2 linked regions of the Coturnix japonica genome follow. The main gene of each other region encodes a partner of the protein of the gene in region 2 in a complex. Links are inferred from orthologs where the notes say so. Each region holds a gene or a part of one and is shown on either strand. Other genes may lie near its edges.

What was found.
Region 1: the proteins of DBF4 (region 2) and CDC7 are in contact, whole or in part, in a crystal structure (PDB 6YA8), measured with the Homo sapiens proteins. The link is inferred for Coturnix japonica from reciprocal best matches to the Homo sapiens genes DBF4 and CDC7. Residues at the interface, in NP_006707.1 of Homo sapiens: Thr210, Arg211, Thr212, Gly213, Arg214, Leu215, Lys217, Pro218, Phe219, Val220, Lys221, Val222, Glu223, Asp224, Met225, Ser226, Gln227, Leu228, Tyr229, Arg230, Pro231, Phe232, Tyr233, Leu234, Leu236, Met239, Pro240, Ile242, Asn243, Tyr244; in NP_001127891.1 of Homo sapiens: Asn56, Val57, Phe58, Ala77, Gln78, Leu79, Gln80, Ile87, Ile93, Pro94, Thr95, Ser96, His97, Pro98, Ile99, Arg100, Ile101, Ala102, Leu105, Gln106, Thr109, Lys121, Tyr122, Cys123, Phe124, Arg125, Asn127, Asp128, Val130, Leu143.

Annotation. Positions count from the first base shown.
Region 1 is NC_029523.1:12,584,210-12,588,022, forward strand, and holds part of CDC7 (cell division cycle 7-related protein kinase), read right to left. Parts: intron 3,173-3,813; coding exon 2,994-3,172; intron 1,751-2,993; coding exon 1,668-1,750; intron 1-1,667. UniProt on the Homo sapiens protein: Kinase involved in initiation of DNA replication. Phosphorylates critical substrates that regulate the G1/S phase transition and initiation of DNA replication, such as MCM proteins and CLASPIN.
Region 2 is NC_029517.1:18,954,117-18,958,565, reverse strand, and holds the start of DBF4 (protein DBF4 homolog A), read right to left. Parts: upstream 3,099-4,449; 5' UTR 3,030-3,098; coding exon 2,984-3,029; intron 2,416-2,983; exon of another isoform or gene 2,302-2,415; intron 1,151-2,301; coding exon 972-1,150; intron 1-971. UniProt on the Homo sapiens protein: Regulatory subunit for CDC7 which activates its kinase activity thereby playing a central role in DNA replication and cell proliferation. Required for progression of S phase.

The sequences.
Region 1 (3,813 bases), on a different chromosome or scaffold from region 2:
CAGCAGACTGAGAGGTCTTGTGCAATGACATCAAAATCACGATTCCTCTCTGTGCATTTGCCTAGTGGTTAGTATCCAGCTAGAGAGGGATGCCATCTTAACGGGAAACTAAGGAACAAATCAAGTTAAAAATTGTAACTGGATCTGCTTAGGGCCAAGTTGTAGGTTTGGGTTGTGTTCTCTGTGCTTTAAACATGGCTCAGTTACTTAAGGTAGCTCTGGACAGCCAGCTGGATCCAGCTGATAACTTGGTCCTGGCACAAAGACCAAAACTAGTAGCAAGATTGGCAGGAGTACAAGGAGGTGACTACAGCAGTCCCAGATGTTATTGGGTAAGGAGATTTGTTAGCTCAAGTACAGCATTATCTCTATTAGTATTACTCTACCCGGTTCTAATGAAGCACTTTGTTGACGTATTACAGAAGCTTTGCACCACTGACTCAGTACCTTTAGGGCCACACCCAAGGGTTTCCAGATCTACCCATATTTTCTGTAGTCCTGCCCTCCATTACCCTAGAGAACAGAGAACTGTCTGAAAGCACACTTAAGACAACCCTCTGTCCAAGATTTCTTAAGTATGTCTTCTTTCTGCATAAATTCTGTCTAGACGGATTCAGGGATTGTCTAAACTTATCCTGGATTTCTGGATGTTTTCTAGCTCATAAAGCTGGCTGTTACTGCACAGGCACGGTGACTCCAAGTAGGCTGCCATACCTCTTGAAATCCCAGCCATGCCCACAACACAGATCCTGCCTCAAATAGCATTAAGCTATCAATTGATATGCTGATCAAACGTATTGTAAGGCTGCTCTGAGTGTGTATGAGAACTTTCAAATGCTGTAAATTGACTATATGCTCACAAAGTGCTAAGCAAAAAGATGGCTATAAACTTATTTTAAATACAAATTCTGAGAACATTTGTATTTATCCTTCATTTTCATAATCAAAACTTCTGGTCATACGTGACACATTGAACTTTGTATCAGCCCTCTAATTCTTCATGTATGCACAGCTTCTCCCAGCCTACTTGCATCACCTACGGCATTAATCATCCCTTAGTTCTTCTCCAATATTTACCAGGCTACTGAAACATGTAGGTTTTAGCCCTGAGAAACTAAAAATCTTAGTAAGAAAAAATCATGACATTTACAGATCATCTATTTAAAGCATTAGCAAAAAGGAAAAAAAAAAATCCAGTGAAAAGTCCCAATTAACTGACACACATCATAAAAAACATAAAAAACTGCACTGATACAATTAGTTATGCCCAAGACAGCAAAATACACGTGTCAAACTGTCTAGAAAGCATACCCCTCTAAGATTTATTTAAGATTTTTCTTGAATAAATAAGCCAGTGAGCCAAGAAACTTGATAAAACTTACAACTTTGTTTTCTTTTAAAACACGTGCTATTGAACTCCTGCGTATGGCAGTACCCCTCAAAGGGATACAGACATTCAAATTTCAAACATGGGAAAATATTCCTCGATCCTTCTTATTCGGAGTAATTAACTTCAAATTAAATTTGGGAAATGGTTCATAAATGTTAGAAGGGATAAGAAAATGAATTTCATGTGTAACAGCCTGGTATACAAAAGATAAAGTCAATGCGTAAGTGACAGGTTTAAGAAAAAGAAAGGCATTTAGTTTTTGTCTGCTATGTTGTACCTGTTGTCTGAGTGGGGCACTTTGTCAGTACTTCTGGTGCTCTGAATCCAGGTGTTCCTGCTCTGGGAGCAACTTGCTGACACCTTGTAGTAAGAGACAAATATGTTCAGAATATCCATATTGAGAAATAAATTCTAATTATAACAATATCTACTATTTTTACAATATACTTTTGTGAGATATGTAAATCTGCCCTATTCAGTTTTTATGTCTGAAATATCTTACAATTACCTAACATATAATTATTACTTCATATGAAATAACCTTATTATAATTACCTATTATATTACTGATCTTGTTATAATGTGTAGAAGGAGTATTTACTGCATATTTCAGTCACAATATTTTCAGTTTTATTCAATGACAACACGTGTTTTCATAGGGAACTTTCAAGTTAAGACTAATTAACCAATGGTAAAAAATGCATTAGTTTCTTGGGTGTGCACAGTATGGCTTTTTATTAATCCAGAGCAAACTAAGATTCACTATTTCTGAGTGTTGACAAGAATTTACTTCTTGTTAGATTAACTAAAAAGTGTGAGATCGTTATTAAAAATGTATAGAAGGTCCAAAGTGCTTTCTGTCTGCAGGCCAAGTTTCTTGAGTCTAGCAAATTCCCCATGTTTCATTTCTGAACTGACTTTGATAACATCATATTTTGACAGTCAGGAAAGAGAAGTACCACAGTTTCATGACTACGCCTACCAAGCAGATTTCTCTGCAGGAATTTCTGTTCCCTAAGTGGACAGGAAAGGTAAGGGTAGATCATAGCCAAAATGAACTACAAAGGACTGGATTTGAACTGAGTTATTTAGACTCTCTGGCCTATCCACTATTAAAATGTTTCAAATTGAGAAATGCAGCACTGTTATCTTCCCCTTTTATTCTACATTTCATGATTTCCAGAATACAGACAGCCTGGGGAATGTATTTAGCCTTAAGTTCTCAGAAAGCAAGAGTCCAATCACTGAATTTCAATGCAGTTGGCATAATTTAGGCCTATTAGATCAATGACAGATTATTTTCTACTCTTGTTTTGTAACTAACTGAGGTTATTTTCTACAACACATATTGATAATGCAAATAATTCAACACAACAGCAACAGAAAATCATAACAGTGAATCTCTTGCTGCAAATAGCACTGAACCAATGACTCCACAAATTCCATGAACTGTTCCTTTTAAAGAGCTCACTTAGTGTCATAAGGGCTGCACAGATCAAATGCTGTCTTTCACCTACTAAATCAGCTGTCTGGTTAATTCAAGCTTTTTGAACTTGTTTGGCAGCATAGTAAGCAATTTTACAGCATTGTTGAAGCAAATTACCTTGAAAGGCAAACACTGCAAACTCTGTCCGTTGCGTAACAGTTACAGGTCAGGTTTGATGGACAACCACTGGCAGCCTTCCTGCCCAGCCCATTGCTCATGGCTTTGGTAGAAATAATCTTCTTCTTTGTTACTAACTTCCTAGATGAAACATCGATCACCTTTGATTGTTTAAAGAGCTGCAAAACAGATATTTTTTCAGAAGATGAAATATTTAAGCTTCCTGTTACATACAGATACCTGTCTTGAAAGTACTGAAGACTCATCGGCAAGGAGCTCCAATTTTTAAAACAGAAGACAGCAAATCTTTCTCCTAAATCATAACATCAACAAAAGGTACTTCGTATTTTAGTGGTTACAAAAATTAATATCCAGTAGATATTTTGAAGCTTCAAGTTGTGTTTTTTTTTCAAGTTAGTATAATTTTTCAAGCATTCTTTTGATTCAATTATCAGTACAAAAAATAAATAAGTGTATGAAACAGTTAATGCCACAACAACAAAGTGGTACTAGTTTTAATTCTACAATAAGATGATTGTTGTTAGATAAGCCTTCTGTTCGGGTTTTTCTCCATGTCACAATAATTCCTAACAGCAAAATGAAAACGTTTATTACGTGTTTGTTTTCTCCACAGCTTCAGTTGCATCATAACAAGCTATGGTTTCATGAACTAGGGATACCTTGGTGGAAAGGTACATGTGTAGGAAAGATACTAACTAGCATACAAAGAAGATGAGCTGGGAAGACAGGTACATAACACCTCCTGAGAAGTTTCAAAAGGGACTGAAACAAATGAGAAAAACTCTTCAAGCCTTTCAGT
Region 2 (4,449 bases):
AAAAAAAAAAAAAAAGGAAAAAAATATGCAAGAAGTCAGTGTGGGGTTGTTGAGTTTTTTGTTCGTTTGTTTTTCAAACCTCATCTCATACTGCTTTGGTCCTGTTTCCTAACTCCCCTGCTCTATTCAGCTCACATTTCAACCATGACACTGAGGAGTTGATGTTCTGCTGCCAATCTCTCAAAACTTTTTGTTTCCCTCTACATCCTTTTGGGCCCAACAACTGCACTGAAGTTCTTTCTTCGGTTCTTCCTCCACAACCTGCCCTGAATGCCAAGAGAGGTGTAGATCTCCTCCCTCTGCTAGGTGACAGTACTCCAGCTCAGCCTTTATAAGCCTCAGCCCGTACTTGAGAAAAAAAAATAAGCCAAACCACTTTCCCATTATACTTTTAGTTAAGTAGCCTCTAAACACAAAATGTATTAGAAAATCTAAGAAATGCTATCTTATATATGATTCGATTAAATGCATACAAACTCCATCAGATCATTCAAGTAAAAGACAACCTTAACAAATACCCCAAACCAAGCTAAAAGAACACGAGACTTTCCATAAACATATGCAAAACACTTCCTCTAACCTCTTTCGGGTTCATCAGAAGAACTTTAGCTATAACATGTTTACATGTGTCAAAATACTCCAAGGTTGCAGAAACACTTTGCTTCAAACACAAACTTACAGCACTTGGATAAAAAACTAAGTAAACGAACCATCAGCTGAAAATGAACCTCTGTGATAAAAACTTCTGCTACACACAGAAGAACAGCTCCTAGTAAAAACAAAAACCCCACAAAACCAACTTCTTGATAAGCCGATGATCTATACTAAACACTAAAATGACATGAAAAAAATAAAATCCCTTCACATCTAAAATAAATGTAACATTAAAACACAGCAGCACAGTACATGGAGAGACATCCCAGCTGCAGGTTTTCTTTCAGTTTCATTGGGCACTTTGAACATGAACTTACCCCTCCTAATTCTTTAAGATCCTTCCCTATTTTTTCGGAGATCACATTTGATGGAATATCGAGGTAAAACACTTTCCCAGTGAGTGGTTTATATTTCAGTTTCTCTGCTTTTCCTACTTCTTTTTTCACATTCTTCAGAGAAGATTTTACCTTTTCTGTTTTTGCTTGCATTTCATCTGCTGCCAAAAGAGAAGACAATTTTAGAAGAATTATATTCTACAAAATGTGGGTTCTCCTCTTTTTAAATATGAAAGAAGTTAAGCTTCCATGTAATAAAAGACATTTATTAAAGAGCTACATGTTAAACATGTCAAAAACAAGACATATATAATAACAAAGAGCTCTTAAAAGTGTTTTTTTTTTAAATCATGCACTAAAATGGACTTTTTATTTCAGTTGCCATACAATGCCATCCATTTTCTCATCCTCTTTGTTAAGCATTTTCCATCCCCACAGCACATACACTACTTGTACAGACAGTGATTATCACAAGAACACTATTTAGGAGGAAAAAGAACAGCCTCTCTCCTTTTCAACTAGGAAAAAAGGAAGATTCGTATAGAAGCAACAGAACAAAAACAAATCAAAAGCCAGTGTAACATTAAAAAAATAGGAAGATCCCCCTGTTTATCTAATTTTTGAGCACCCATCTGAGACTGAGGAAGTCTGCTTCAAGTTCCAGAATCATTCTAGTTATGACCATCCTTTCTGTCCTGGTCAATTTTTCTCTTAAAATAAGAGATAACACACAGCAATTGAATAACAGAATGGATCACAGAATGGTTTGGGTAGGAAGAGACCTTTAAGATCATCCAGTTCCCATCTTCCTGCTATAGTCAGGGTCACCTCCCTCTAGACCAGGCTGCTCACAGCCCCATCCAGCCCGGCCTTGAATGCTTCCAGGGAGGAGGCACCCACAACCTTATTGGGCAACCTGTTCCAGTGTCTCACCACCCTCACAGTAAGGAATTTCTCTCCCTGATATCTAGCCTAAATCAAGTAAACTCCTCCAGTTTACAGCCATTTTCCCTTATCCTCTCACTACACGTCCTTACAAAGAATCCCTCCCCAGCTTTCCTGTAGGCCCCCTTCAGGTACTTGAACTAAAAGCCTGATGATCAAATTAGAACTATCCACTCAGGTCTGTCAGAATAGACATTTAAAATAAGCAAATTTTAAAAATTACTTTGAGGGATCCTAAATGCACTGAAGCGTGACTGACTGTTCCTACTTGCATTCATTACAGGACTCCTTTTACAACCTGTGATGGAGGCTCAATGATCCAAGCCTGCCATATTGGTAGTTTTACACAGCTTTTGTCCTGACTGACCTTAGGCCAGAGCCTGGTTACTTCTCCTTTGGACAAGTTCAGTAAGGCCAGAGGCCTGTTGCAGGGAGTGTGTGGGAATCTTCTGGAGTCAAAACAGTCACTCTGCCGTGCATTCTCTCCTCTGAAACTGCCTCAGAAGGAGGAAGCAAAGCCAATACTGCTGCTGTATTCTCCCAGTAGTGGTTATGAGCACATAGAAGCAAAGCAGGAAGAGCAGTTAATTCAGTAGTATCTGAGAAACCAGAAGAAGCAGATAAATAGGAAACATGGAGGCTTTGGACAGTGTAATTCGTGTGGAAGCTGAAGAGAGAAGGATGAAGTCTGGAGCCACAGGTGAGCGGGCAGGTAAGAGAAATTCTGCAGGGATCAAACAGCGTGTTACACCCAGCACGTATAAGTGACGGCCACAGCACCTCGAAAACTACTGCAATTCCCACTGAAAAAGGCGCACCGAACTCGCTAGGAGTAACACAACGCCTGCACTTCGCAATACCGCGATGAAAGCAGTTTCTATAGGGGCGGAAGGGCCGCGCGGGGCAGGGCCTGATGGCAGCCAGCTCACATCCCTCCAATATTAGGCTTTTAACGATCGAGTCCCGACACCAGATGAAGCGAAAAGGCAAAATCACCGAGAGGGAAGAGCGGCGCGCTAATGAAGCCGGCCGCAGGCCCCGCTACTTACGGGGACGAGCTCCTTTATTGGCGACCTGTGCGGCGCTGGGTTTCATCTTTCTGCAGCCTCACATCCTCCTCCAGCCGGGAGCCCTGCGGGCACACACCGCCGTTACGCCTCCCTCAGCCGCCAGCCCCGCCCGGCCGTCCCCTCTCTTCACCTCTCGTCCCTCCGCCTCGCTTCTCCTCCCGGCAGGACGAGGCCGAACCTCGGTGCTCCCCGGCCCACAGGCGCCCGCCTCGGCCCGCGCTGCCAACGGCCCGCAGCGTGCGCAGCCTGCCCCGCCCCGCACGGAGGGTGGGCGGGAAGGCACCGGCAGGCGGGGTGAGGGGGGAACCGGGGGACGGAAGGGGAAAAGAAACCACCGCGAGGGCGGGAAGGATGCGTAGGGGCGCTGCCTCACCTCACAGGGCGCTGGGCGCCAGGCTTACACGGGAAGAGGTGCTGTGACAGGGGGGGCTGCCTCCGACCCCGCGGGGTCCTCAGAGTGTGTGGGGAGACGTTAGTATGGCGGCGTGTGGGGGGTGAGTTGTGGTATGCGCCGCTCAGTCGCCTTATCTTTTGCTTTAAACTCGAGGAACGCAGTAAGACATTCACAGAATCACGGAAGGGAATTCTGGAGGTCATTCAGCCCGTTGCTATTGTCCTGACGGCACCACTAGAAAGAGCCCGGCCCCATCTGTTTGACTCCCTCACTTTTAGGTATTTGTAAACAATGATAAAATGCTCCTCGTCCCCAGGCATCCCTTGGGCAATCCCAGAATCAGGGAGATGCTCCCAGTCATCTTTGCAGCCTTCTCTTGGACTCTCTAGAAGTTTCCTGGACTGAGGAGCCCAGAACTGGACACAGCATTCCAGGTGTGGCCTCACCAGGACACAGTAGAGGGGGAGGATCCCCTCCCTTGCCCTGCTGGCCGTGCTCTTTTTAATGCATCCTAGGATACTACTGGCCTTCTTGGCCACGAAGGCACACTGCTAGCCCATGGCCAACCTGTTGTCCACCAGGACATCTGAGTTTTATTTACTCTGCAGAGCTCCTCTCCAGCAGGTCAGCCCCTAACTTGTATAGAAGCGTGAGGTTAGTCCTCCCCAGGTGCAGGACTCTGCACATACCATTGTTGAACCTCATCAGGTTCCTCTTCATCCAACTTTCCAGCCTGTCCTATTGAACAAATAGAAAACTTTGATCAATACAAACTAAGGAGGTCACAACTGCACTAACTTAATCTATGTGCATTTTCAAAGGTATGGCCCTCAGCCATCAAATTAGTTTTTTAGGTTGTCCTGCGTGGAGCCAGAAGCTGGGCTCAGTGATCCCTGTGGGTCCCCTCCACTCATGTTTTTTGTCATTTGGGGATTTTATGTCCTGAAAATTGGTTTGTTTGGCTCTTCTTTTTTTCTTCTGCCTAGATTTATTTTACCTCCTTATTTCTAGATCTCTGCTTACATTTCTAAGGTATTGAGTCCTTGCCTAT